Mus musculus: one gene and its partners. The protein of the gene in region 5 binds, or shares a complex with, the protein of the main gene of each other region. Links are inferred from orthologs where the notes say so. Each region holds a gene or a part of one and is shown on either strand. Other genes may lie near its edges.

Region 1 (6,339 bases), on a different chromosome or scaffold from region 5:
AGCAACATTATACAGTTGTCCAAGACTCTATACGAAAGATATTCTAATGGATTGTAGTCAGTACTCCTAAGAACCGCCCAGGCAGTTTTTTCTGAGCCATACAGCCAAACACATTAGATCTGAAAAGTTTGCAAGAGTTATATAGCAATTTCCTCCAAGAGAGAATATTCCTTCTTGACAAGAAGCTCCTTCAGACACAGGGTATTATTTCTAAGAGGAGGTGAAACATTCCATCCTATAGCAAAGCACCTTAAAATTCAGGAGGTAAACCATTTAAAACCTCCAGGAAAGCCCGAAACAGACCAGACTCACTGCCCACTCCCACGGCCCATTACGCTTATGCAAGAAGTACTGTTGAGAGACACTCTCAAATAAGATAGGCTGCAGACCAGCAACTACTTGAAAGATGCTGGGTTCAGCTGACCTGCCTCCAAGAGAAACTCTAAGTCAGTGGTCCTCAGCCTTACTAACGCTACTAGCCTTTGATACAGTTTCTCGGGAGGTTGAGAACCACTGCTGTATCATAGTGCAGTTCTGTGAAACAGTTTCTTCTAAGATTGGGATGTCCCATTCTGCAGGGAAGTTTAAAGAGAACAAACTCAAGGTAGCTTCAAGAAGTCCCTAAAGCTAACCAGACCACTAGGTGCCTTCCTGTGAGGGCAAGCAATAAGACCCGACTGCCCCAAGGAAGCTGAAGTGCAGGAAGACTCTTGAGAAGAGAAAAGCTACACAGACCACTGAGACCAGCCCAGCTACCTGGAAGAGTCTGGGCCCAGTGAGACTGCTCTAAAACTAGACCAAATGATAGAAAAGATACTCTCTCATCTGTCAAGTTGTCTGCAGGCTGTGCAGTGTGCTCTCTGTTCCTAGTTGTGTGAGCTATGGATGACGCAGCTGTCTTTGAGTCATTTCTACTTCTGTAAATAATTCCTCACCCCAAATCCTGTAAGTAATCCTAGTACAATTCAATGGTTTACCAAGCTGCACTGTGGTGGTATTCATGCTTTGGTCTATTGTTGGTTCTCTACTTGGGGTGAGCAGATCTTTCAAGAAACAATGCCACACAACATAAGCTATCCAGATATTTGACAGCTACTCACCTGTCTTGTTACTGTGATTTCATCATGAGCTTCAAATCCCAACGGACTCTGCTTTTTGTCAGAATTATCAAAAGTGATTGAAACAGAGGCTTTGGTAATCCCAGCCTGTCCATTTTTATAAACGAGATCTTGTAAATTTGAAGCCCGCACCTATAATTAAAAAGGGAAAGGAAAGTTCATTGACAAAGCATCATATTATACAAGAGCAGGATTAATACTATATGTGTTGTTCTGGAAAACCCACCTATATAGTGTTACGTTAAGTAAAAACAGGCAGCCACATCCGTCAGCAAGAAAAGCAAGGACTACAGACAATAACTTATAATATGTACTTTTTTCAATAGCACTTTCTTTCTGTTTTGAATTTCTACTGACTTAGCAAGAATTAATTTCAAAACTCAAGGAAGTACTGTCTATGAACTTCACTAGCCATCCCATGCCCATTAGTTCACTCTGATAGGGCATTCACTGTAAGCACAAGTGAAAGAACCAGTATTGGCTCAAGACACAAGAGTGAGGGAAGGAGAGGGAGAGGGAAAGGGAAAGGGGTATTTGTCCTGGGTTTGGGAGTAGAGACAACAAAGGACTGCCTCTGGGAGGGTGGGAGACAGCTGTGCTCCACAGACAAACAGCACTTTATAAACATAAATGGGAAACCCCCATGTTAGGATAAATTGGTTAATTTTGATTGGGCATTTTAATTAGGTGAGCCAGGGGGGGGGGGTGCTTTGATTGCTGGACTTCAATACTTTGATAGCTGGACCTTGGCAGTCAGCCTCAGGAGGCAGAAGTGACCAAAATAAGGGAATGGACCTTGGTGGCTAACTTTAGGAATGTAATCTAACAGTTTTTAGCAAGGCAGAGGGACTGGATGGAAGGGCATGGCCTGCTAGAGCCATATTTCCACGAGAGGCCAACAAGAGTCCCTTCAAAAAGAGCAGGTATGTTGGGTATCCTAAGTTTCTGGGCTAATATCCACTTATCAGGATACCCAAGATATAAGATACAATTTGCTAAACGCATGAAACTCAAGAAGAACGAGGACCAAAGTGTGGACACTTTGCCCCTTCTTAGAAATGGGAACAAAACACCCATGGAAGGAGTTACAGAGACAAAGCAAAGTTTGGAGCTGTGACGAAAGGATGGACTATCTAGAGACTGCCATATCCATGGATCCATCCCATAATCAGCTTCCAAACGCTGACACCATTGCACACACTAGCAAGATTTTGCTGAAAGGACCCAGACTATGCTGGGGCCTAGCAAACACAGAAGTGGATGCTCACTATTGGATGGATCACAAGGCTCCCAATGGAGGAGCTAGAGAAAGTACCCAAGGAGCTAAAGGGGTCTGCAACCCTATAGGTGGAACAACAATATGAACTAACCAGTACCCCGGAGCTCTTGACTCTAGCTGCATATGTATCAAAAGATAGCCTAGTCGGCCATCACTGGAAAGAGAGGCCCATTGGACTTGCAAACTTTATATGCCCCAGTAAAGGGGAACGCCAGGGCCAAAAAGGGGGAGTGAGTAGGTAAGGGAGTTGGGGGGTGGGTATGGGGGACTTTTGGGATAGCATTGGAAATGTAAGTGAGGAAAATACCTAATAAAAAATTAAAAAAAAAAAAAAAAAGAAATGTGGGAAACTAAAAAAAAAAAAAAAAAAAAAAAAGAGCAGGTATGGACTGAGAACAGAGACTACCCAATATAACAGTGCTGGTATGCTGGTATGGGTGTTACTCCCAACAGCTTAGGAGGACAAACCTCAGGCAAGGCCTCTGTATGTATCTTTTCGTCTGTCTACAGGATGAAACAGTAATAGTATTTGCTTAAACGGCTGCACTGCAACACAACATAACTCACATGAAGTACAAACAAAACACATGAAGTACAAACATGCAAAGAAAGAAAACCCAAAGTCTCCACAGATTAACAGATTCTCTTGCCAACACATAAGTCAGAAAAGCTGACACTTTACCTGGGACAGGTTGGAGATGCCTAGGAGAAAGCATATGGAGTCCAATATGTTGGATTTTCCACTACCATTTAAACCAGTGATCGCATTGAAGAGGGGGTCAAAACCATTGACTTCAGTCCTCTGTGCATAGGACTTGAATCCTTCGAGAATGATTGATTTAACATACATTTTCTAAACTGTCTTGGGTTAGTAAGCCTGTTAGGCAACAAGCTACAAGTCACGTCTGTATAAAACAGAAATAAGATCATTTATGTAGAATGTTAAAAACCCTCAAATCATAGTAAATACGACAGGATACACAATAACGTAAAGTAAAAAAAAAAAAAAAAAAAAAGAAAAGAAAAGAAAAGAAAAAATACACCTGCCAAACTACTTTTTCTCCTAAAAACAGCTGGCTCAGATTTTAAAACATCCAACCGTTAGCCAATGCCGGTAAGTTAAACCATTTAACCTAAAAATCATCTTTATCATTACTGTCCACTTTCCTAGGTTCGTGTTGCACTACAATACTGTAGTTAACAGAGACTACTAATTATTTCCCATTTCATTATCCTTGCCACAGACGACACTGGACTGAATACTCTTTACTGCACACCACTTAGCATACATCTTACAGGAGTCCTTCATGGATCTCCCTAATAGCACGCACACCCATCCTCTCCTTCCTTTTTCCTCCACAGCAGTAAAAGATGACATCAGTCGGCACCGTCTTTCCAACTCATTCTCGGTCCCGTTGTGCTTTTTTGCCTACATACGACCTTAACTCTGTTTACACTCGACTCTCAGAACCCGGGTAGTTAGTGAACCTTAAGGGCGAAGTGAATCCATTCTACTGCCTCGTTTTAAAATTCCGTGTTCTCTCGCTTGCCCAAGCCTTTCTCGATTCACCTTACGGATGAACAACAGTCAACATCTCTAATTCTCGCTTCAAGTCCCTCCTTGAGAATCTTGCCCACCCCTGTGCCTCATCTCCCGCCTGGACACCAGGCCGGGCCAAGAGCAGCACTACGCACCCGCCACAAAGCGGCTGGCCAGGGGAACCAGCAAAGTTCCAACCCGACGCGAAAGTGGACAGTGAGGCCACCCGACCTGTACTCAGGCGCTACCGGGCGAACGCCACCATCCCGGGCACCGCATCCGCTGCAGCCAACAACCGTGCCGGAACTGTTCCTTTGAATTTCGGCGCGAGCAAAGGACCCCAACTCCGAGGCGTCTGCGCTCTGTTGGTGCCTAGTATCTGCCTGACTGAAGCGCTTCCTCTTTTGCCCTAAGGAAAAACACAGAAACGACATAGCGACAATAAATAATAGTTTTAATATTGGAAGGTAGGAGACTATACCGTTTTGAACATGGAAAGCGAAAATGAAGATAGGTCGTGCTGACATCGCGTCAGGCATGCTCTGGGCAGCACCTCTTCCAGGTCTGGGCCTCGCGCGTTGCCGGCCCCGCCCTCTTTCTGGCCCTTTCAGGCTATCGGTCGGAGCCTTGGCTTCTGTCCGCAGGCTCCGCCCCCTCCCGGTCTACGCTCTTTGCTGCGGGGCGCGGCCGGGGCGGGCCGGGGCGGGGGCGGGCCGGGGGTCCCGGGACCCTTCGAGGATATTACAGGGTGGAAACCAACACTAGTGAGAAAAGTCCTCTGAGGCTTCATTTTCTACTAATTGAAGAGAAAGGCACTGGCTTTGAAAACACAAACCAAAACCAGTTCCAGTTTCCGGAGGGGACTGTAGGCCTGCAGTATGTGGAGTTTGGTGGAAGATGCTAGGCAAACGGCTGTAAGATTTTTTTTTTTTTTTTTATGCCGAAAACCTGTTTAATGATAAGCAGTGGCTGACGTACCGGTTCACGAAATGTTGCTGAAGCTTCTTAATAACAGTTTGTATTTACAGAGTTCTGTAGATCGGGTAGCTGTGTTTCAAAGGCTGTCAAGAATTTCCTCAACAAACGTGGAACCCTAGTGTTTCCTTTTGTACAGACGAGTTTATTGAATCACTGGGTTAAACGACTTATAAGTGAAGAGAGATTTTTGTTCCAGGCTGCCTAACTACAGAGTGTGTACTCCTAAACTTATTATCTACAACTGCTAATTTTACATTGCTAGTTAGAGCTGATCCCCATCAACTATGTAATTTAAAAAAAAAATGGTGTTGGGATTATTTATATTTAAGCATCAATACTAAGAGAAGGGCTTAGCTTTGTTTTTTTTATTGAAAATTTATTTTTTTTCCTACCGTATATTCCGATTAGTTTTCTCCGCCCCAACCTCTCCTAGAACCTCCTCCATTTCCACACTCACCCAAATCCACACATTTTCTTTTCTCTTTCTCATAAGAATATAAACAGACATCTAAAATGATGATGATAAAATAAGATTTTAAAAACAGAAGGACCAAATAAACAGGAGGGGGAAAAAAGCCAAAGAAAGAGCATTAGAGACACAATGAGACACATTCACACAGAGATATACACACAAAACATAAAAACAAAAGCAGAAACCATAATACATAATAAACAAAAGATTTTTAATATTAAATGGAAATGTTCAGACAAAGCAGTGTGAGACAAAAACCCTCTAAAAATACCATTAAGTTCGTTTTATGTTGGCCATCTATTGCTAGGCATCGGGAGGGACTACCCTTAAATATGGTTTGTACACCCAGACATCACTGGAAAAATGATTTGCTCTGCAGCAGTTATCAATTGGATATAGCTTCTGGGTTAGGATGGAGGATTGTTTCTATTTTCCCTCTCAATACTGGCTTAGAACTGCAGGTCCTGTGCATGCTGAAATTTACAGTGGTAGACAGGGAGGAAAGTGAAGATCGCCTTCCTGAACCTGAGAACTTCCTAGGCAAGCATTGGCAGCAGGTTCTCAAGTAAAAAGTGCCAGACTGCCTGGCAGTGGTGGCGCGCGCCTTTAATCCCAGCACTTGGGAGGCAGAGGCAGGCGGATTTTTGAGTTCGAGGCCATCCTGGTCTACAGAGTGAGTTCCAGGACAGCCAGGGCTATACAGAGAAACCCTGCCTCGAAAAACAAAGAAACAAAAAAGAAACAGTACAGTATCTATAATAGTATGCTACCTGCCTTCCTGTGGTATCAGCCTATTTGTCTGTGAAATTAGCTAACACCACTTTAATAAAGATATTTTGTCTGGTGTAATTCCTACTACTCTTGAACTCCAATGACTTGACTTATTTATGTTGGCTCTGTTGAATTATACATTTTCACCTTCAGCTCTGCTATATTCCTTTGATCACTTTTT
Region 2 (5,837 bases), on a different chromosome or scaffold from region 5:
GGCAGTGCAGCGGCACATGCTGCCTGCGGTCTGCAGTAAGCAGACAAGAGATGCTGCTGATCTCTGTCCTTTGCATCTCCTGAGGAGGAGCTAAAGCCGGAGAGCTGAGCCAGCCTCTGTCTGCGGTCAGTGTCAACCTCGGGAGAGTCAGCAGGAGGGGCAAGAGGGAGATTTAGTCGGGAGAACAAGGCTCATGGCCTTACCCTGCTTCCACGGACCAGTACGACTTAAACTGTAGGAGCCTCTCTTAAATTGGAGGGGCTGGAGGAAGCCCCTCCAGCCTTCTACAGACATTAAGTTAGGTGGGCATGAGGTGTAGTGATGTGTAACTGCCATAAATTGCACCTTAAGCTTGACAAGGCCATTGGTAGATGTGAGATGAGAATACTGTTGACACGGAGACGAACGGTGCTATAAACTGTTTATTTCTGCAGAAGATGCTACCTCCTGCACAGAGCACAAAAAGAAGAGTGCAAAGAAAGACTTTGAAATTAATTTTGATGATGATATTGATTTTGATGCATATTTTCAGAAAACAAAGGTTTGTGCCGGATCTCCGTGCCCTTCTTAGATGACTGCCCTCCTCTTGCCCTTTCAGACAGGCTTTTCAAAAGTCTCTTAACAAGCTGGGTGGTGGTGGTGGCGCATGCCTTTAATTACAGCACTCAGGAGGCAGAGGCAGGCAGATCTCTGAGTTCAAGGCCAGCCTGATCTACAGAGAGAGTTTCAGGACAGCCAGAGCTATACAGAGAAACCCTGTCTCGAAAAATCACCACCACAACAACAAAATCATTGTACAGCCTGGTGTAGTGGTATACGCCTTTAATCTCTGCACTCAAAGGCAGAGGCTGTGGCTCTCTGAGTTCCAGACTAACCCAGGTTTCATAGAGAGACCCACAACAAAAGAAGCAAGCAGAAAGTTATTGTATATTTCAGTTTTTGTTTTTTAGAAATAGGGTCTTATGTAGCAGGCCATCCTCACCTCAAACTTGCTATATAGATGCGGCTGGCCTTAAATTTTTGTTCCTGACTATACTCCCCAATATGCCACCATGCCTAGCTATAACTTTAATTTGGTAAGCAAGTAGTCTGTTCTCTCCCTCAGTCCCTGAGGGACCATTGAGAAACAAAGTCAGTGGCAGGGTCAAGAAAGTTTAGGGTTTTAGATAGGGTAGCACCATGTAGCCCAGTCTCCTGCCCTCTACAGGGCTGGCCTTGAACTCATGCCAGCGCGCCTGCCTCAGCCCTCTGAGTACTTTGGTTAAGTGCATCTGCTCTCGTGCCTAGTACAATCACTTCATCACTTCATCAGACAGACCCGAGAGTTGCAAGTAGTAGAGCAATGCCCAAACCCATTTGTCAGTTATTAAGAATTTTTCTTTAAACAAATAGGCTGCTACCATTCTGACCAAGTCCACTTTGGAGAACCAGAATTGGAAAGCCACCACTCTTCCCACAGATTTCCACTATGAAACTGATAATCTGATCCAGCTTCACCTCAAACCAGGCAAAAGGGTAAGATGGTGCCTCCCTTCCTTTAAGCTGTTGTGGCTGCCAGGCCTGTCGATGGCCTGTGTGGATCAGGTGGCTTGTCCTGTTGCTGATGTGCAGTACCTCAGAGGAAAGGAGGGAGGCCAGGAGGGGTCACAGAGAGTGGATGGTGAGGTAGAGCTGAGGACAGAGACTGCAGAGCCCTCACTCAGAGAGCTCTGCCTGCTTACAGCCCATCGCAGGGTCTCGGAGGGTTCCTCCTGGTTATAGCCCATCACCTGGGTTACACCCCATCACAGAGAGCGCTCCGCTCAGGTTACAGCCAGCTCTGTAGTTCTGCTCTTGCACTGGTTTGTAGTTTCCTCCTTATCTTGTCTGTTCTTCTACATGAGCTTGCGTTCTTTTCCTCTAGGGCTTGAGCATGTTCTAACTTTTGTTTTCTTTTGTAGCTCAGGCTGGCCTTGAACTCGCGACATATTCCCAACTTGCCTCAGTCTCTGGCTCCTCATGCTTCCGCATTTTTAAAAAATTTTTTAAAGATTTATTTTTATGAGTACACTGTAGCTGTCTTCAGACACACCAGAAGAGGACATCAGATCCCATTACAGATGGCTGTGAGCCACCATGTGGTTGCTGGGAATTGAACTCAGGACCTCTGGAAGAGCAGTCAGTGCTCTTAACCGCTGAGCCATCTCTCCAGCCCCGTGCTTCAGCCCTTTGAAGGACCAGGATTCCAGTTGTGCACCACTGTGTTTAGTCACCGTGCAGTTTTAATGATATGCATATATTTTCCTTAGTTCACCAAGATGCTACACTCTACTTAAAACAGACTGGCATGTTTTCTTTCTGATCAATGTTGTTCACTTAGCAGAAATGCTTTGGTAAACACAGGAATCGGCAGCTGCACAGCACTGAGTTGCAGCTCTTGATGCCAGCAAGGACAGACAGTCTGGTGCAGGATGGCAGAGCAAGGCTGAGCTACAGCCGCACAGCAGAGTCCCCTGGATGGCTCCCCTCCCTGTGGCTGTGATTGTGGACTTTTCAGTAGGCTAGCCAAGATGGTAATTTGCATATTGAGAGGAGAATGTGATGGAGAAAAGCCGTCCTATTGTAGAGTCTGGTTTTTACTCTTTGATTTCCCCAACCCCTGTCAATAAGTAGCTGATTTTCTACAAATTGCTTTTGTTTCTTGTTCCTGACCCCCACCCCACTCCCACCCAGAAGCTTATCCTGTAGCTCAAGCTAGCCTGAAACTGTGTAGTCCAGGTTTCTGTCTCCACCTCATAAATGCTAGGACGAGCCCCCATGCCTTGCTTGTCAGTATTTCTTTGAAAGAAAGAACTTGAGGTCTTTATTATACTCAGAATCATATGAGAGGCAGGCAGGCAGGCAGGCAGGCAGGCAGGCAGGCAGGCAGCAGGAGCTGGAGGTCCTTTGTTCTTCCACGGAGCTACACTAGACGCTAGAAGTTTGGCAAGGGGCAAGCTTGCACATGCACAGAGAAGGGCTTCCCAGTGGAGAAGAGCTCCATGTGTCATGAGAAACAGTGGAAGGACGTTGGGCATCTCTCTTTCCTTTTTTTCTTTTTGGTTTTTTGAGACAGTGTTTCTCTGCATAGTAGCCCTGGCTATCCTAGGATTAGCTTTGTAGACCAGGCTGGCAACTCACAGAGATCTGCCTGCCTCTGCCTCACAAGGTCTATGATTAAGAGCATGTGCCAGCATTGCTCGGCTAGTGGGCCATTCCTTAACTCACTCAATGTTTGATATTATCTTTGAATTTGTATTATAAAAATATTGTTTTAAACAGTTGATTTTAGATTGTATTAGAATCATCAAGATAGTGTTGCAAGTTAAATCCATCTCCAGCTACATTCTCCTTAATTCAAAGGCATATTCCAAGGATAGCCGACAGGGTAAGAGCCACAGATGCTTGAGGGCTGTGGTGCCTGAGCCCTCCCATAGGGAGGCACAGTTCTGTGGGCTGTGGAAGGCTGAATGAAAACTCAGGGATAAGTAGGGGAAAGAGCTTCTTTCTTTGCTGTGTGCTTGCCCCAGTAAGGGGCAGCTGCCTTTATTATTTTATTTTTTGTGTGCACGCGTGCGCTCATGCTTGTGTATGTGCTGGGACAGATGTAGATTTGGGGTGTCTTCCTTGTATATCCTGTGTGGGAACATGCACATGGGTACCGCAGTGTGTGTGTAGAGGTCAGGGGATAACTTGGAGGAGTCAGTTTTCTTCTTCTACCATATTGAACCAGGGGATTGATCTTAAGTTGTCAGGCTTAGTGGCAAACAGCTGCACCCACTAAGCATCCTCCCAGCTCCTCCTGAGACAGTGTCTCACGTCGCCCTGTAGTCACCAGTTAGCTAAACTGGCTGGTCAGCACAGTTCTAGGGACCCATCTCTTGGCTTTCCTGAACATCTGCTTTTTTACATGGGTGTTGAAGAGCCAGACATAGGCCTCATGCTTGCAAGGCCAGCACTGTACTGAGTCCTCTCCCCAGGCCCCTGTGGGCTGCCTTTAAGATAAGGAGTTCTTAGCAGGGTTGTTCAAGTACAAGTTGAGTTTCTTTTAGAAAGTTGTAGATGGGTGGCCAGCCTTTGGTTTTAAGTAAAACTGCAGAAGATGCAGTTTGCAGAGCAGAAGAGGAAGTGTTTTGGTTTGGGGGGTGAGTAGTGGCTCTGAGTCCTGTATCTTGTGTTGTTCTGTGCAGTAGAGACTTGGTTAGACTATGTAGCCTTTTAGCCACACACACACACACTCTAGGGTCATGTCCTGCTAAAATGAGACTGAAATAGGAAACAAGATTGATATCCCCAGCTTCGCCCAGTAGCTGCTTTTTTTAGAGATTTCTTTTTGCACACCCCCTCCTCTATTCTAGTCACTTAAGATGGACCAGGACCAGAAGGCTAAGACTGAGCACTATGAGGAAATTGAAGACTATGATTACAACAACCCTAACGACACCTCCAACTATTGTCCTGGACTTCAGGTAAGGGGAGAAGAGTTCTTGCCTCTTCCAAATGGTGGGTAGTCTCTTCCCTGGTTTCTGATGCCCTCTGTCTCAGTGTATAGCAGTGAACAGTGCTGAGAAATGAGCTGGCATGGCCGCTTTCCTCATACTCCAGGGGCAGGAAGCAGTGGGCAGGATCTGTGGGGTGGTTTGTATATGCTTGGCTCAGGGAGTGTCAAGTAGGTATGCCCTTGTTGGAGTGGGAATGTCACTGTGGGTGTGAGCTTTAAGACCCTTCTCCCAGCTGCCTGGAAGCCAGTCTTCTAGTAGTCTTCAGATGAAGATTTAGGACTTTCAGCTCCTCCTGCATCATTGTCTGGACACTGCCATGCTCCCACCTTGATGATAATGGACTGAACCTCTGAACCTGTAAGCCAACCTCCATTAAATGTTGTCCTTTGTAAGAGTTGCCTTGGTCATGGTGTCTGTCACAGCAGCAAAACCCTAACTAAGACACTCTGCTAATGAATAGACAAGTGGATAGGCTCTGGCCTGTACAACACAGCACTAATCTTGGATATTGTGGAATTTCAAAGAAATATAACTACACTTCCTGTTCATAGGAGCTAATATTTTGGCTATGAGTTGAAACAAGGCATGCGAAAGTGGTGTGATCTAGTAGGGCCAAGAACTCTCTGGAAGTACCTACTTATCAGGAGAACTTGTCCAAGCCTTTCCTCATTCTCAGACCTTGGTGGGCATTGCTAATTTGTTTCTCATTGTGAGTCTCCTGAAGAAACAGCAAATAGAAGCTATGGTGAGGAGGACAGAGCCTCCTGTGACCCTTCATGCAGGGAGGACAGAATTGGACAGTCATTTATTCTGTTTCTTTCTCTACTGAGGGGAGAGATTGTTTTGTTTTAATGAGGATCTAGTCTGACCTCTTGGCCGATGCTTCTGCAACTTCAGCGCCGGTAAGGACCAGCCCTGGAACCTGTTCAGAGCTCTGCCATACTGCCTATGTCACAGTTCTCATCCGTTCACTCTGGGCTTGGTTCTGAGAATGGCTTTCTGTGAGTGGAGACTGCAGACCAGCATGAATGAAGCAGGGATTGCTCCCCATCACCTTATAAACCAGGTGTCTTAGAGTTCTGTTGCTGTGAAGACTGTGGCAACCCTTATAAAGGAAAATGTTTAATTAGGGCTGGCGTGCAGAGGCTTAGTCCATTACTAGCATTGTGGAAACATGGTGACATTCAGGCAGATGTGGTGCTAAGAAAGGTAACTGAGAGGTCCGTATCTAGAGGGTGAAAGACCCACAACGTGAAGACTCCCCCACGTTCTGACTCAGGAGAGCAACACCCCAAATCACTCACGAGAAATGGTCTT
Region 3 (5,837 bases), on a different chromosome or scaffold from region 5:
TCTACCTTCCTCAAGTACATTTTACTCTAATTTTTCTGCAAAAGGACAAGTAACCAAATCTCTAACGTTAGTATCTGTTTAAAGTATACAAGTAAAAAAGAGAATGCTCTTGTGGTTAGTTCTCATATCTATTCTGTGTGCTTAGGGCACTCCTAGCTTGGTTTTCATAGCTGAGACACTGGATAAAATACCTTTGGAAAACTGAAGTATTATTACTATTAACTCAAAAAAATTCTTTTGAAATTTAGTCACAGACTAACTCACTTTTAATTTTTCTTTATTTCTACAGATTAAGAGACTATAAAAAATACACTTATATTCAGGCCAACTCTAAAAGTCTATTAAGAAACATGAACATCTCAGTTCTAAGTTAACCCATTCTCCAAAGTAGAAAAGAGTAGCAAAAATCATTTGTTTCATTTTGTTATAAAAGATGAAAAGCTATGGAACTAAAAACGGACCAAATCAAAACCCTGCTTTTTAAGGAATTTACAAACCCACTTTCAACACAGCCATGTATTAATTAACTTAGAAGGGTAACAGAAGCACACGATTATCATTTCTCTAACCCAAATGGAACAAAATCACCCACTCATGGAGCAAACCAGTAAAATCTAGTTAGTATCTATGAAACATTACCGGCTAATAATAAAACCTTTCTTGTTTGGGCCAGTAAGTCTTAAACATCATAGTCTCTCCTGGAACATACAAAACTATGTAAACCAATGGTCAACCAACTATGTGACTTCTTGTGAAGTACACACACCCATGTATAGCTGTCCATAAGGATAAGAAATAGCCTTTATGCATTTTTAGACTAATCTTAGCACAGTGCCTCACTAGAAACACATTTAAACAGTGAAACCTGGATCTGGATAATAGCAAGGCTTAAAGAAACATCAATCTATAACTAGTATAAAAGCCTTTTCCATTTCTAAAATTTAGTTCATTTTAATATTTAAAAACTTGCTTTTTCTAAATTTAGATTACATATGATGTAATCATTATCACTGTCTCTGCATACTTACACCCTGGATGCTAATACTATGATAACTATCTTCAATTTTCTAGCCCCCCCTAACAAATGTTAGTGAAGAGAGAATGAAATAAAAGCTACAATAGTACTTACCTTCCTTCACACGATTTAAATCTTACTAGTTGAAGAATCAAAGATTTTTGATAAGGAGCTAAGAAAAACTCAGAAACTACTTCCACTTTCAAATTTAATAGAATTCTGAGTTCTATCTAGTTGCTAAAGTTCTTATCTAAGTTCAACCAAATCAAACTGAATGTTAATTAGAATGTTCAACTTAGTATTCTTTGGAAAGAATATAAAAGTTTAATTGTGACAAGGGTTCAGTTAGGAGGACCAACAATCAATCATCTTTAGTACTCTAGAAGTAGGCGTTAATATAAGCTCAACAACTTATTTATCTCTTTGGGAATTTACTTTATCAGTTTTCTTCATTAGCAAATTATGTAGAAGTAAATTGTACAAAAACTTTACAAGATCTAAAATATAGTCTATTTTGTACTGGCATAAAACTGATCTCAGAATAAAATAAAGCACACAGCAAAGAATAAACCAAAGATTAGTATAATTCCCTACAAAACTGTTACCACCATTAAATTTAAGATTATAAAGAAATACAACTTTTTATCCAATTAATTAAGCCAAATTCCTGAAAAAATGGAAATCTATAAACAGTACAATTCATTTAAAAAACAAAGCAAAATACCTACAGTGGCATAAGATTACAGCTATATAAATCCAAATCTTATTTACACATATATCTGCAACTGATTCTTTTCAATATTTACTTTTAAGTAACACTGGTTCACTAAATTATTGTAAATGCACTGTTCTGATATTTAAGGGGTATTCTAGAAAATTATCATTTGTCTTTTATACTGTGTATGCCTCAAATAATAATAATGCCTTAAGAATATAATGTGAAATTTGTGAAAAGTATGTTAGTGGAACACTTAGTTACACAACAGAACATTTTAAATCACATTGAAACTCCCAACTTATTTTCAAAATCAGTAGCACAAGATGTACTGTACAAGGCACAGCTGCTCTGCATAACAATCTCTCTTTTTACATTTTATTTATGCTCTTAGTAGACTGGGATAGTATTTTAAAAAAAGCCTTTAAATCAAAACAGCAATTTCATAGTCCCTAACAAGGCTGTATTTAAAAAAAAAAAAAAGTAGGAAAGACAAAATTTTCCTTCTGTTACACTATCAGAATATACTTTTACTTCCATAATCACACCAAAAGTGGAAAAATAAACAAACAAGCAAGCAAAAAGCAAGAAACAAATAAAATACAAGGTCTAATAATAAAAAAAAAATACCAGGAACCTAGTGTTTATATTTCTAAGAACTGATACTAACAGTATTGGTTTAAGAAATTAGGTCCTCATAAACAAATTAAATTCACCCAGAGTAAACCTTTATGCAAGTATAATGTTAAAAATATTACATTAGGTACCCAGGAAAACTTGTTGTGATATCAAGTATATGGTTTTTATATTATTTTATATTTAAATATCAATAAACAAAAGGGACAGATTATCAAAAGATTTTTATCTAAACTGTTATCTTAAAGGGAAATAACAAACAGAAATGAGTTGCTATATCCCTGTCACACTAAAGCAGCACAATAATATTGGTGTTTAATATTTATTTCACTACGCCAATATTTACGTGCTGCTAGAGTGGAACAAGCATGTCAGATATCCAAACATAATACAACTGTGATGGTACCATATAATCTTGAATGAATTTCCTTAAATTTCTAGAGCAGCAAATAATGATTCGCATCTTGACTGTAGTATGTAAACCATGATGTGCTGCTACAGTACTTTAAGGTTCCAAAAGACAGGACTCAGCAAACAGAAGAACACTCTTTCAAGCTTTAGTACAAGCCAAAAATCAAAAACCAAGAACCTTGGAAGAATTTTTAAACGTACCTGCAAGATTAAAAATCGATTATGGTCTAAGTCAATGCCATGGCTTCTAAGGAGATTTCCAACATCTTTAAACGTCTTCTTCTTCCCACTTATGTGGTAGACAGAAGTGCTATCTCTGTAGGCGGTTCTGGATACATAGAAGTTGCTGTTAGGAAGGACTTCGTAATCATCTCCTTCCTGTTTTTAGGAAAAACAGAACCCGAAAACTGTTGGTATTAAATCACAGGTTTAATCCAGATTTCATTTACTTTATACTGATACTAATTCAACAGATTAAATATTTTTCTTGTATTCTTTAACAGATTCAGATGTATATAACGAATTTTAATCCTTTTCACCTATTGCTTGTTTTATTTCCCCTGAATTATGTATGGCCATAGGCTGACAACCATTTTAAAGTGAGATAAAAAATAAATTGCTTTACAAAGGACTAGATACTTCTCCAAGTTGTTTGGTTTATTTCTCAAAAATCTCTAAAAGTTTAAACCAAGCAAACACAAATTTCAGCCTATTCAAAATATATCTGAATGAGAGCCAAGGAAGGCGAACAAGACCTCAGCATATCTACAACAACCCACTCCACTCAGATAACCTTGGTGACTGTTAAAAAGCTTCAAGAAGAAACAATTTAAGGAAAATATTTAGGGGAAATACTTTTCTGGTAGTGGTAGGGTCTGCGAGTAAAGATTGTGTATGATTGTGTGTGTGTGTGTGTGTGTTTGTGTGTGTAGGGAGACAGGATTCCCTTTCCTAAACAGCATTTCCTATCATTAATTAGAAGTAAACCATCATAAAAATTTGCAATCATATACATAATAAAGGAAATCAAGTTATAAGTCCATCTTAGCATTAAAGTTCATTTATTCTTAAAAGGCTCCGTGTCATATTTAATTTTGGATTAATTAAACAACAGGTACTAGACTATCATGACTTATTGGCAATCTAATTCTCTAACTCAAATGTGCAACAGAATGAATTCAGAAGCAAAATTCTGATAGATGCTTCTGTGTAGTTAAATTTCTTTATATGTAAAACATCCCCACCAGCATCCAATTATCTGTTACTTTACTATGGGCACTTATTTTTTAAGGTTCTTTTCCGTTGCTTTTTGAACCATGAATTTTTCTAAGCTATTAAACAGATGCCTGTCCCCTACCATTTCAAAACATACTTCATCACGGTAGTTCAAACCTTAGAAAATTTCATCTCTCTCTCTCTCTCTCTCACATAGCTACTAATTATTACATTTTAGAGTCAATTATTGCATTTTAAAAATTAAAATGTTTATCCTAAAGCAAAAAAATGTACAACTTTTCAAATGAAGCCCATATTTATAGTGAGTGAATGCTGAATTAGCACTTAGGGCCCCTACATCACTGTATTCTTCCAAAAAGCTGAAGTAAATATGTTCACAGAAGCAAAATCCATTTCTTATTGCTCTAATTATACACAAAGTAAAATAAAGAACAATTCAGATCTACAATAACAAAATGTGGCATGTTTCCTTTTCTTGCTTGAAGGTGCAAGTAGAAAATCTTACCTTATCAATTATCTTTTGAAAATGAACTTCTACAGTACAACTCTGAATATCCTTGTGTTCATCAGAATTATGTATCAGTACCGATAGCTTTTTAGACCTTATTTTTTGTGCTCGATAGCCAAACACAAAAAGCATGGAATCAATAACATTGGATTTTCCACTGCCATTTGGTCCAATAATACAGGAAAAGCGCTGCATAAAAGTAAATTTTTAAAAATTTAAATAGTCACACTTAATACTAATTTTAAACTACTCCATAATTTAATTTGTAATAAAAATCAAAGGTATCATTAAAAGTTTTCATTAGAAGATAAACACTTTTTCTTTCTTTCTCTTTAGAAATAAAAGCAGTTTATTAAGAAAAGGAAAGCACCCTAGGAATGGAGTGGGCCAGGGAACTGAAGGAAAACACAATCTGAGTTTTCTTACATCATGTTCTTCAATAGCACAAGCTTCACCATTTAAATAAAAACCACCTTCAAATTCTAATCCCGACATTTTACAAAACTCATTAGCACAGTCAACGGGGAAAACATTCCCTTCTAACAAAAACAGATTCCATTCAATATGCAAATATTGCTAAAGATATACCAAAGACATCAGATAAAGAAAAACTCATTCCTGTTGTTGAAGTCACAGGCAACATACTGTCTGTGCGTCTATGAGCATATGTGTGTAAAGAGTCAGGACCGTTAGAACACTGAAATATCTTGTAATTAAAGATGTATTCCACGTTATCTGAGCAGGCAGTACCTTATGGAAAGGTCCCAGAACTTTCTCTCCAGCATAGGACTTGAAGTTTTGGTTTACAATATGAGTTATCATGAGACGAGGAGCTCCAGCTTCACTGGCCATGGCTGGAGGTGGGGGTGGAGGGATACTATTCAAAATCTCCTCTAAACTTCTGTTATCCAGCTCCTCACCTGGAGGCTCTAGGTTAAGGGAGAGGCAAAGAGGGGAAAGCCTACATTAGTGTAATTAGTTGAACGTCTATCATCTGCTAGTATTTAAAGAACACAATGGAGGGATGTTACTTAAAGAAACCTAGGAATTTATCTTCCATACAAACATATCCTAAACTCATGGGGATGGATAATCCTTCAGATTAGTTTTATGTAAAATAAAATTCGTGAAAGCAATCAGACCAGTCACAAAATGTGTGGTATACACATTGTACTTAGAGGAGTCAAAATACTCAATATACCATAAAGAAAACCTTGCAACAAACGGATTCCCTGATGCAGGAGATGCAACCCTAACAATCGAAAATCCAACTCTCCACATGGCTCAGCTTAAGAAACTCACAAACTTCAGTAACA
Region 4 (5,837 bases), on a different chromosome or scaffold from region 5:
GGAAGGGAGAAAAGGCATTCTTTGGTTTTATTTTGTCTTTTCGAGACCGGGATTCTTCACTCCGAAGGGTAGGGAGGCTGGGAAGGGTGGAAGGGCTTGGGAGCACTGTAGCAGGTGCAGGGCAGGGGGACTCTGGCGCCTCTTTGCTAGGCCAGTGCAACATGAAACCAGCCCCCTGCTCATCTAGCTCAAGAGCCTATTGCTAAGTTTAGCTGGCCTGGTGATAACCTTTGCTTAAAAGGCAGGGAGCACGCTGGGCTGCACCCCAAATCTAGTCTTGGCTCCTTGCCCTTCCAGATTGCCCTACCTCCTTGGGGCCCCAGAGCCAAGGCTGTGTTAGACTGACAGCTGTGTGGCCCGTGCCCAGGCTTCCCATGAGCGGGGAGCAGGCCAGATGAACAGGGTGGGAAGGGTGGGAGTGGCCCCAGCGCAGTGGTGGGGAGGAGAGGCATGGCAGATTCAGAGTCCCTTTTCTGCCTTCCTACCGAGGCTCTATGCACAGCGTTAACCCTTTTCCTACCCAAAGAGCCCTTCCATAGCCCAGCCCTAACCTAGTGTTTCAGAGGTGCACCTTCCCTTTTGCCTCACGCCTGTCATCTATCATTACTGTCCCCTCACCAAGAGGTAGGGAGCACTTCAGCAGCACTGTGCTGTTGTCATGGCAGCAGAAACAGCAGTTGTGCCTCCTGCTCCAAGTGACTCAGCAGATTAAGGGCTTGGGGATGGTGGGCACACAGCATGGCTTACAGCTGGACCTCCTGCAGACCCCTTAGTGTAGTGAAGGACTGGCTCTGGGGCGATGGACCTTGTCACCTATAGAACTGAGTGGGGTTCATAATCTCTGCCATTAGCCAGGCTGAGTCATTTGCCAGTCTTCGGGGGATGGGGTGGGGCGCACAGAGGAAACAAACCTTAGGTCTAGAGCAGCATTTCTCAAGTTGTGTACTCCTGACATGCTGTGTTATGGGGCACAATGTGCATGAAGGTGGCCTTCATCTTAAGGCTTTCACTGCAGCCCCCTGCCCCACAAGGCAAACAGAAATAAGTCTCTAGGTATTACCGAATGTTTTCTGGGGTGCAAAGTACCCCAGACTGCTGAGAACTGTTCACGTGAACCTAGAAACCGCATAATTCTGCACAGCAGAGTTTCAGTTGTGCAAGGATGAGGCACCACAGGGGCCATGAAGATCCAGACACAGCTCAGGGCTAAGGATGGGACAGACCAGCCAGGACAGGATGCTTAAAAGTCTATAAAAACATTTATTCATTAGAAAACAGCAATTGGCACAGGCTCGGAGAAAGGGAAAGTGGCAGCAGGGCTCTAAGAGAAAGACCTCAATGCAAAGGCCATTTCCATGTTAAAACCACAGACAACAAGCACTTCTACAAGGGGGGGGGGGCACTGAATCCAAGATCATCCAGTAAGATACCCTGCACGGCAGGGACGGGAGTAGGCAAAGGCAGCTCCTAGGACCTGTGTCTTCGCCCAGATGCTCTGCGGATGGGGGTGGTTCTCTTGGGTGTCTCTTCTTCTGTCATCTCTGCTGAAAGTTCTATTCAAAGAATTATAGGAACAAAAGCTGAGTCATAAAGATGGGGCAAAATGGATCTCAAAGTAAACACATGCGCGCGTGCGCACGCGCACACGTGTGCACACACACACACAAACACACACACAAACACACACGCACACGGCACACTGTGAAAGTCAGCCGAGCTGCATAGTGAGGAAGACATGGCCAGGAAGAATGAATCCACAGCTAGGCAAGCCCCACTGGAAGACCCCACACAGGCAGCTGATCTGTTGGGAGGGTGTATCATACCGTCCTCACTGGACTCGTCACTCAAGAAGACAACTTTGGCTTTCCTCTGGGACTTCTTGCGCTGCTGAGTTTGTGGACGACCAGGTTTGGTACGTCGCGGCTTAGGTGTGACAAAGTCATTGTCTGAGTCTACAGAAGTCAGAGGCTGTAGCCTTGAGACTAGAAAAGAAAGGCAAGGGGACCATTTCAAAACCAAAAACAAACCACAAAGGAACAAAAAAAGGGTGGGGACCACTCATAGGAGCCCCATGTGGGCTTGCATCCCTCTCATACCAGCGGAGGGTTTCTTGGCAGACAGGGCTCGCTGGCTGCCTCCCTGGCCAGTTTCAAACTCCTCTATTCCATCCATGCCTCTGGTGTGACAGGCACGAAGCTTCTGCTCAAATTCATCTATTATAGCCTGGAGGACAGAAAGTTAAAGACAGGGCTGGAAACATTATCTCCCTGCTTAAAAAGAAATAGCCATGAAAAGAGAGAAAACTAAAGAAACCAATCTGAAACTGTGATTCCAACTAACTGATGCCACCACAGGGGTGGGGGGTAAGGTGACCTCAAAGTCCTGAAAATGCCCAGTATGACACAAGTGGTAAGTATGTGCCACTGTGTCCAGTGAGTGGACTTTGGATGCTGATCTGTCAATCACGTTCCTTCATCCAGGACCACGTATACCAGGACAAGAAGGTCATGGGGTGGAGGCCATGCGGGTGTGGGACAGAGCATATGGGAGCTCTACTTACTGACTTTTGCTTTAAACATGAAACTACTCTAAAGAAGCAGTCCAGTGCAAACATGTGCGGCATACCTCTACTACCAGGAGACAGAGGCAGGGGAATCTCTGTTAGTCTGAGGCAGCTGGGTCTACATAGCAAGACCCTATCTCAAGGCCTTCACTGGGGCTGGGAAGGTGGCATAGTGGTTAGGAGCACTGGCTGCTCTTACAAAAGACCTGTGTTCAGTTCTCAGGGCCCACAACAGTCTAACTCCAATTCCAAGGGGACTTGGCACCTTCATGCAAACATATACACAGGCAAAATACCAATGCATGTTAACAAAAAAGGAAATGAATGGCCTTTAAAAAAGGGACCAGGAATTAAGATCTGGTCTTAGTCACTCTGGTTCCATAGCTGTAGTGAGGCTAGCAAGGCAGAAAGTTCAGACAGGAGTCTCAGAGCACTTAGGGAGGCAGATGAAGTTTACTGCACCGGAACCTAACAGGACCACTCACCTTGCCCTCAGGCTTGGCCCCGCGACGCAGTTTGCCCACAACTGACAAGAAAGCACTGAAGACAGACTCATCTAAGAGCTTATCGCCAAAGCACTCAAAGTTGTCTAGCATCTTCTGGAGACCTCGCTCTGTGAGGGGCAGCTGGGACATACAGTAGGCTAGGTCTCGGTACTGACGCTCAGTTCTACAGGGAGGGAGAGACTCTGTGAGGCACACACATCCTCCCCCTTCAGTCTCCTTTGGTCCCACGGATGCCACCAGGGACTCTCTCTTCTGAAAGGTCCCTCTTAGCACAAAGATGTCCCAAAATGGAGCATACCGGGCTGTGCGGAACCGCTGACACAGCTTTTCTACCAAGCTCTCAGTCTGTTTGTCCTTGGTGATGTAGGAGAGGAGCTGCCTGTGAGGAGAGAGTGTACGATTGGCCAGGAAACCCCTTTCTCAGCTCCTACACTGAAGCCACCACCCCAACCCCAGCATGGCCTCTTCTGTCCTTGCTTTAGAAGAGAGTTCTTTGCATGGCCTTCTACCGCCTGTCCTCTGGTCTCCTTCCCTTTATTGAGAAAGCAAATAACAGCTGCCACCTAGTGACTGCTACTATGTGCCTCACCCTCACCCTCAAGCAGCACCCTACCCTATGTAAGAGCCTCCACAACTATGCAGCAAGTCCTGTCAACCTCATACGGTTAAGACGGGCAAACAGGTCAAGTAACTTGTGGAGAAAGTACGGCTAAAATGTCCATCTAGAGCTGAAGACAGCGGCAGAGTGCTTGCCTAGCACATGCAAGACCCTGTGTTCATTCTTCTTCATTCTTTGCATTCCATCCATCCATCCATCCATCCATCCATCCATCCATCCATCCTAAGTCTGTGTGCCCCCCCCCCCACTACTCTAGATCTAAAGAGCCATACTTCATGATGGTGTGGAAGGGCTCCTCTTCCACTCCGCCCTCTGGGTCTGACAGGCGACTGATGATATCGGGGAGTAGATTATAGATAGCATTGCCCTGTAGGAGGAAAAGGATGAGATGAGGCGGGGAGCAGCCGGCAGAAGTGGGACCTATCCATCTCCCCGACAAAGCCCCAAGCTGCTTCTCTCACCTTGTGGGAGAGCTCATTGAAGAAATTCTTGGCCAGAGCAGCGATCTGAGGCACAGGGTCGATGAGCAGCACGGCCATCTCGCTCACCTGCCCCTTCACCTTCACCATGTCCTTCAGGATCAGGTGCGTCATCACCAGCCCCGCTGTCTTCCGCACTTGTTGAGCTGGGTCTCGGAGGCTAGGAATAAAAACTCTAGTCACTAAGATCAAGAACTCGTGTTTGTACCTTGAGAACAATAGGAAGGCCTTAAGAACAAGGATCTATTGTTCCACAGTACGCCAGTTTAGAAGCAGCTCCAAGGCTGGAGTCAGGGACCACGAGATCTGTAGGCAAGATTTTAGAGGGAAGCTTCAGCTCCCAGTGCCCATTTCGGGCCTGCTTGTACAGGGTGAACAGCCAGCAGGTACCGAAGTCAGTGCCACGGGTGGGGGAGGAGCCCGTGAACTCTTAGTGGGTCTCAGGTGGCCCAGGGATCTCTTACCGGGCATACAGATGAGGAGTCCAGGGATCCACCAGGTTAGGGAAGCGGATAGCCAGATCCCCTGTGGCAACCATGAGGTTAGATCGCACAGTGGGGAGTGAAGACTTTTCCAGCATGGTGAATAGAAGACGAAGCTGGGAGTCGCAGAAAGGGGCACTGAGGGCAAAGAGAGACCCATCAGGAAAGCAAGAGGGCTGTACCATCTCATGTTCCTTGAGATGAAGCCAACTAGGCCTACCTGATCATGCAGAACTTGCCAAGGGCCAGCGACGCAGCCGCACAGAGCTCTGGGTTGCTGTATAAGCCAGGGTTGTTACAGACTTTAAGTAGCAGTGGAACAAAGGCAGCTAGTACCTGGTTGCCTGACAAAAGAACATGTCCAGGTTAGGGACAGATTGATTCAACTGGGGGAGGGCACATAGCGATCTTTCTTACCGTCCAACAGCTCCTTCTCACAGATGCTTCGGATGAGCTCCGCCTCTGTGTCGTCAGCAGTGGCCCCCCCCACCAGCCCCAGTTCTTCCTCCATTGTAGTTTCAGAGCTTGCAGTCTGCAGGAAGAGAAGCCAGGGATGTTGGGTGACCACTTTTCTTTTTTGAGACAGGTGCTTACATGGCCCAGTCCTTCCTAAAACTTTTATGTAGATTGGGCTAGCCACAAATTCACAGAGATCTGCCTGCCTCTGTCTCTTAAGAGATGGCATTAGGGAGTGGCAGGAGGAAAGAGAGAGAGGCGGGGGCGGGCATTAAAGGCGTGCACCGCTTCACCCTGCTTTAAGACAGACTTTAAACTTTTGTTGTTTTATGAGTCTCTCTCCCGGCATGTATGCAATCGTACATGTGTGCACTGCACACGGAGGCCAGAAGAGGACACTGGGTTTCCCTGGAGTTGGAGTTACAGATGGTTAGGAGACACCATGTATGTTCTGGGATCTGAACTCAGGTTCTCTTCAAGCGCGCTTAACCTCTTGAGCCATCTCTCTCCCCGTAAGACATCATTTATAAAACCGTCCACAGGAATGACAAATAAGTCCATAAAGAGAAAGAATTTCTGAATGGAGAAGGGAATGACTAGGTCTCTTTTGTAAGTTTTTAAGTTTGCTAAGGCAGGTCTCTACACCTCTTCCTCTGAAGACACAATTGACTGTGGTCAATTTACAATGGTAAACAAATCCTGTTCAGCCTGGCAGTGGTTCAAGGTCACAGA
Region 5 (5,837 bases):
TAACTTGCAAAAGTCTCATTTGCCTCATGTCTAAACCTAAATTTTGCCCTCCCTGACTCCAAAAGAAGCTCCTCTCTTTATTACAAGGAGCAGGTCTGCCCTTTTACGACTGAAGGAGCATCCAGTTGTTGAGATAATCCAGCTGATGAAAGTGGAACTGTTTTAGAATCATAGCACTCCCCCTGAAGGTCAATTCACACCACATGACTAGCCAACCGATACAAAGGTACCACAGCACAGCTTATTTTCAATTTTCAGCAATTCAAAGAACATCTCAATTCTGGAACCCCTTATACAAATCAATTGAAACTCTTGCATGCCAATCCAATCCAGCCTATGCCCCAGCCTACTTTGCTTACTTTCCCAAGAAGTCTATGAAGTCTACTGTTACTCACTAAAGACTGTAGACTTTCCTCAGAGTTTACCATCTCATTTGCCTCTCAAACTTTCCCCAAATCTTCTCACCACTTCATCTCATATAACCGTAAGTGACCATTAAATGAGTCTTCTTGATAACTAAATCTCATGCTATTAACCCTTTAATACTAAGTCTTATATATACACTACAAATAGGGCCAACTCCAGCCACTGTATAATCATCTACATTTATTATGTATACATCTTTAGGTATACATCTTTCCTTTCTACTTTAAATCACTTCTCAAATCCAACCAAGCACAAGAGAATTTTTAAAACTCAAATGAGTTTTAAAACTAGTATCAGACAAGTCTGATGGCATACACCTATAGTCCTATCTACTTGGGGGCAGAGATAGTACAACTGCAAATTCAAGGCCTACCTGAGCCCCCTGTCTCAAAGTAAGTGACAAGAGGGCTGGGGATATAGTTCAGCAGTAAAACAGACAGTTGTCTAGCACCTGTCAGACCATACATAGGCTTAATACCCTGTAAGGAAAATAAAACTAATGATACATACATCATTCCTATAATGAATCTTATACTTTTCTGAAGTCCAAAAGCACTTGATGGCTAATCACTATTAATATATTTTGCTTAATATCCTTTGTAATATAATCCTCCTAATAACAAATGTGATTCGAGCAGAGCAGTCACTAAATAGCAAATAAATATACAGATAGAACAAAACTGTTAACTTGCAGTTGGCATCTGAAATCATTAACCCATCAAATTTCTAAGTGTTCAAACATCATTAAAGAATTTTAAAATTGAATTTCATTATAATTTATAGATAAGTTTGTAGTTCTATTATATGCTTCATTAAAAAAAAATCTTGAGATAAACACCTTTAAACTGTCCTCCCTCCTCAGTATTAACAGCATAACAAGCAAGCCAACATTTGCAGACGTAGTAACAGAAGTCTTTACTTCAGTGATCACCTCACTAAGTGGGGAGAATGGTAATGGAAATGATGTTGTTTTAGTAACTTCTAGGATGCAAAACATTTGCCATGATCACTTCTATTTTCATCATTTCTCCACATTTACCCAAAGACACACTTCCCTGCCTCCCATAACTGTCTTATATACTAGAAAAACAAAAGGCTCAAAATATAAATGTAGTTCATCATGATTTCAAAAATCCCAGGAGAAGGCTTCTTTAATCAAACAACAATGATCTTCATGCAGTTATATTTGCTATCCACAGGCTACCATATATACCTGATAATCCTGAGAATTCTTTGCCTTAGGATTTAATCTACTTGGTCTTGTCAGATCAACAAGCAATTCAACAACATTTGTGACATCTACTTCAGCTAAAGGAGATGACACTGGGGCATTGGCCAGTGTTTGCACAGTTGGAATAAAGGCTTCTTCAAAGCACTCCTGATTAGTCCTATTGAAAAGAAATCAGGACTTTTAGTACAAGGCCAAGGACATCTGCCCTGCTGAAGACTTCAGATCCCACTAACCTCTTTGCCACTCCAACTTAAAGCTGCTGAATGAAATGATTTGAAACAAAAACAAAAAAACAACAACAAAAAAGCTCCAATGTTTTCGCAAGTTGGCAAAACATTATTTAAGAGAAAAGTTTTAAATCTAAAATATTCACAAACTCTCTATTGAAGAGATATAGTTCGTTTTATACCTTACATATGCAGGAAAGAGAAATCTGGGTATATAAAATGTATGTTACATTCTTATGATTCATCTATAGAAAAGTGTGTCAAGAACAAAATGGCCGAGACATAGTTCAGGTGGGGAGAGCTGAACCTGACTTTAGGTAAGATTTAATCAGTGACTCACTACCTGTTTGCATAAGCAAACATGGGGAAAAACACTCCTAGGCAATGTCGAAGTCGAACATCCTCTTCAGTCACAGGATTATACCATAACAAAATAAGACGAGAAAGAATCCTGCTGCTGACCAAAAGCCCAGAAAACATCAGCTTGGCTAGTCCTTCTGCAGCTCCTGTCCTGAGTTCAGATACCTAGCAAAAATGACATTCATTAGAAAGTTTTTATCTCTAGTTTCCTTTATGTGTGATATTTTAAAATAACTATCCAAAAATTAATTTTATTATGCATGTGATAAAAGGAGTTCTACAGGTTTTAAGCTAGACTTGACTACACAGTAAGTTTTAAATTAACCTGGGCTACAGAATGTCACTGTCTCAAAGATCAGAACTAAAATAAAATACTTATGGGATTGCAATGAACAGTGCTCAGGGAAGTTCTGCAGTAATAAATATCTCCATTTTAAAATTTTTAAAAAATGTATTTTAAAAAAATCTCAAAATGATAACTTAAATTACACTGTAATAACAAGAAGAGAGCAATTAATCTGACTGTGAGGAAAACAAAATTTAAAATTGAAGTAACCAAAGAAAATCGTAGCAAACCTAGCTCATCAACAGTGAAAGGACTATACATCATGAGCACACAGAACTTAACCCAGAAATCCACTGATGGTGCAAATGAAAATCAAGTAATGTTCCATACCATACAACATATCAAAGAGAAGAAAATCCCTCATGACTATATTGCCTGAAGCAGAAAGAACAATTGACAAAATCAAACATCTTTTTATTAAGATATAAACACAAAACAGCCAAGGATATAAGAATAGAAAGTAATTATCTCAAAATGATAAACAGTATTTATGAAAAACCCTGTAACTAACACATTTATTAACAAGATTCTCAACTTTTCCACTAAACTCACAAATATGACAAGGACATTTGCTTCAGACACTTAACGGCTGGTGTTCAACACTGTACTAGATGAAGCAGAACAATTAAATAAGAAATAAAAGACATGGAATTAATACTGTAGCTATTCAGAAATGACATGGTTCTACACAGAAAAAAATCCCCAGAATTCCTTTTCCAAAATTACTTAATAAGCCAATTCAAAAAAGTTATAAAGTTAAACACACACACACAAATCTCAGCTGAGATTCTATACTACAGCAGTGAACAATCCAAAAAGAAAATGAAGAAAAAACAAAATAAATTTAATACTTGTTTTAAATAATAAAAAGTATTTTTAAAAATGAAAACTATGTTAATTTTCAATACAACTTGTTCTAATTTCGTTTCTGTTACTGTAGTAACAGAAATGTGGCAAAAGCACTTTCAGTTCTCTGAACACTAGTTTGATAATGAAAATATAGTAGATGTGAAATTTACATTTTAAATTAAGATTTTTTTTTAAAACCAAATAAAATCCTGTTAAAAGTAAACGAGTACAAAATTCAAGCAAAGAACATAAACACGTGTTGCAAATGCTTCCTAACTGTAGAGCTGGGTGACTTCTTACCTCGCTGTCTAAGAAGTCGGAGAGGAGTTTCAGAACACTCTTAGCTGGGTCAGTCTCTCCAGCATCATTTTCTTCTTGCTTATCATGACAGTTTATTTCTTCACCTTCACATTGAACGCCCTTAACTTTCTGGGTTTTAAATGGCTCAATTCCAAACATCATCAATTGGTCAATGATTGCCTTTAGAGCACTTATTTTTATTGTGACATCATCGATTTGCAAAACCTACAATTAGACATGAACACACACCCCCCAATAATTTCAGTAAAACAACTTAATTCTATAACCTAAATAAAATTAGTATCTTTTCTTAATTAAATCTCAATGAGTGTTAAGTGTGAACATTTCTAAGAATTAAAATTAAAGTTTTCATTTTAAAAAAGAAGTATGTTTATCTCATAACATCTGGAGCTTTAGCCCTTAATTTTTGCAGTGGAAAAAAGTTTCAGAGTCAGCGTCCAGATGGACTGTGCTATTTGGTTCTTTCATAACAAAACAGAAAAAAGAAAAAAAAGAACTCCAACTATGATAAAGTTTTATCATTTGTCCAAGATCCAGAAAAACTGCACTGTGTTTTATATATAAATTGTTTTACCTGCCTATCAAAAATATTAATACAGTATATTCTAATCCATTTAAACCTTTGTTACAGTCAGTACTATTAAGTTTCTTTGAAGGAAAATTTTTCTCATTACTTAGTAAATTCAGATTTCATTAATAGTGAATTCAGGTATCAAGTAGTCTTTTATAAAGCAGTTTAGGGAGCTAGAGAAATGACCTAATCCATAAAGGGCCTGTCAAACATAGGCAGGAAGACCTCATTTCAGATAAACAGCAACCACACAGGAAGCTAGGTGCATAGCAGTGCACAATGATACCAAAGAACTGGGGGCACAGAGACACGTGGATCCCTGAAATTCATTAGCCGACTAACCTAACCAAATCCAGGAGGTCCTGGTTCAGTGAGAGGTCCTTGTCAGAGTTAGAAGAGAGACTGAGAAAGATATCCAACATAGATCTCTGTATATGCACACAAATAGTTTAAATCTATCTTGAGTTAAAAACTACACAACAAATTCCAAAACCATGGGGGCAGAGGCATTCTACTATGAAAGATTAACTATATTATACAATGTAACTTGGCCTTTAAAATAAACAAAGATCACTTCTATATTGGTCAAATTATTATAATTAGAAAAATTATTTATTCTAAAAACTTTGAAGAATATGTCAAGAACATATCCACTCCATGCTTTGAGAATGAGCCCTGTAAATCTGCCAAAACCAAATTCTCTTTACATGCTGTTACGATGGCTCTGGAAACTCCAAATATGCTACTAGCTCAGCATCAACTGTTTCCTTCATACTCTCATTAACCTTTACATGCAGCAATAGCTACCAATATTCAATCCTAATGAGATTTTAAAACAAATTAATTCCCCTCTTCTGCCTTTCTAACAGACCTTTATACATTATATCAATTTTTATTACTAACAGTTTGATATTTTTTATTCCAAAATAAAAACAAACAAACAAAAAAAACCTTCCAATAGAGCCCTGAGAATGCTTATTTAAAATTAAAAAAAAACAAAAAACCAAAAAAACAAAACCTTTTATAGAGCTGTGCATGGTGGCACATATCCTTAATGCCAGCACTCTGGGAACAGAGGTATTCAATAAGGTATTCAGAGGGTCTGAATTTGAGGCCAGCCTATTCTATAAAGCAAGGTCCAGGATAGCCAAGGCTACATAGAGAAACCTTGTCTCAAAATATCAAAAACAAATAATTTTTAAAAACCTTTATAAAGATTACAAGATTGAATCCATTTAGTAGTTATCTTCTTTTGATCATAGACCCTGTTGTATAACTTTTTAAAAAGCTAAACAATAAATAAAAAATATCTAAAAATTAAAAATTATACTTCAAAGTAACATATAAAATATAGGCAAACTTCAGGTTTTCTGCCCTTGAATCTGCTATCATTCAAATACTTTTAACTTTAAAAAAAAAAAAAGGCCAGATCCAACAACTGATTTAACCTAGGTAAGTTATTAGACTTTCATATCCCAAGTTAACAGTATTTATATGTAGGTATAT

The links.
Region 1: Ncapg (region 5) and Smc2 share a complex: the UniProt entries of both Homo sapiens proteins name them as parts of the condensin complex. The link is inferred for Mus musculus from reciprocal best matches to the Homo sapiens genes NCAPG and SMC2.
Region 2: the proteins of Ncapg (region 5) and Ncaph are in contact, whole or in part, in a crystal structure (PDB 6IGX), measured with the Homo sapiens proteins. The link is inferred for Mus musculus from reciprocal best matches to the Homo sapiens genes NCAPG and NCAPH. Residues at the interface, in NP_071741.2 of Homo sapiens: Lys11, Phe14, Arg15, Gln18, His50, Tyr51, Lys53, Tyr54, Val55, Met56, Val57, Glu62, Ala64, Val65, Val68, Phe102, Ser106, Glu108, Ala109, Asn110, Ser111, Val114, Arg115, Ile149, Arg150, Lys152, Asp153, Lys154, Arg159, Glu188; in NP_056156.2 of Homo sapiens: Glu471, Ile472, Asp473, Phe474, Glu475, Asp476, Asp477, Ile478, Phe480, Val482, Tyr483, Phe484, Arg485, Lys486, Thr487, Ala489, Ala490, Thr491, Ile492, Leu493, Gln501, Asn502, Trp503, Ala505, Thr506, Thr507, Leu508, Phe512, Tyr514, Val516.
Region 3: Ncapg (region 5) and Smc4 share a complex: the UniProt entries of both Homo sapiens proteins name them as parts of the condensin complex. The link is inferred for Mus musculus from reciprocal best matches to the Homo sapiens genes NCAPG and SMC4.
Region 4: Ncapg (region 5) and Ncapd2 share a complex: the UniProt entries of both Homo sapiens proteins name them as parts of the condensin complex. The link is inferred for Mus musculus from reciprocal best matches to the Homo sapiens genes NCAPG and NCAPD2.

The regions. Positions count from the first base shown.
Region 1 is NC_000070.6:52,437,164-52,443,502, reverse strand, and holds the start of Smc2 (structural maintenance of chromosomes protein 2), read right to left. Parts: upstream 4,283-6,339; 5' UTR 4,093-4,282; intron 3,303-4,092; 5' UTR 3,248-3,302; coding exon 3,080-3,247; intron 1,251-3,079; coding exon 1,101-1,250; intron 1-1,100. UniProt on the Homo sapiens protein: Central component of the condensin complex, a complex required for conversion of interphase chromatin into mitotic-like condense chromosomes.
Region 2 is NC_000068.7:127,112,210-127,118,046, reverse strand, and holds part of Ncaph (condensin complex subunit 2), read left to right. Parts: intron 1-434; coding exon 435-541; intron 542-1,392; coding exon 1,393-1,515; intron 1,516-4,376; coding exon 4,377-4,487; intron 4,488-5,837. UniProt on the Homo sapiens protein: Regulatory subunit of the condensin complex, a complex required for conversion of interphase chromatin into mitotic-like condense chromosomes.
Region 3 is NC_000069.6:69,006,802-69,012,638, reverse strand, and holds part of Smc4 (structural maintenance of chromosomes protein 4), read right to left. Parts: intron 5,451-5,837; coding exon 5,272-5,450; intron 4,711-5,271; coding exon 4,519-4,710; intron 3,156-4,518; coding exon 2,979-3,155; intron 2,868-2,978; exon of another isoform or gene 2,804-2,867; intron 2,738-2,803; exon of another isoform or gene 1-2,737. UniProt on the Homo sapiens protein: Central component of the condensin complex, a complex required for conversion of interphase chromatin into mitotic-like condense chromosomes.
Region 4 is NC_000072.6:125,166,767-125,172,603, forward strand, and holds the end of Ncapd2 (condensin complex subunit 1), read right to left. Parts: intron 5,182-5,837; coding exon 5,067-5,181; intron 4,994-5,066; coding exon 4,870-4,993; intron 4,788-4,869; coding exon 4,632-4,787; intron 4,328-4,631; coding exon 4,150-4,327; intron 4,056-4,149; coding exon 3,961-4,055; intron 3,449-3,960; coding exon 3,368-3,448; intron 3,233-3,367; coding exon 3,049-3,232; intron 2,224-3,048; coding exon 2,097-2,223; intron 1,983-2,096; coding exon 1,824-1,982; intron 1,554-1,823; coding exon 1,468-1,553; 3' UTR 1,241-1,467; downstream 1-1,240. UniProt on the Homo sapiens protein: Regulatory subunit of the condensin complex, a complex required for conversion of interphase chromatin into mitotic-like condense chromosomes.
Region 5 is NC_000071.6:45,689,729-45,695,565, reverse strand, and holds part of Ncapg (condensin complex subunit 3), read right to left. Parts: intron 3,965-5,837; coding exon 3,740-3,964; intron 2,410-3,739; coding exon 2,228-2,409; intron 1,815-2,227; coding exon 1,640-1,814; intron 1-1,639. UniProt on the Homo sapiens protein: Regulatory subunit of the condensin complex, a complex required for conversion of interphase chromatin into mitotic-like condense chromosomes.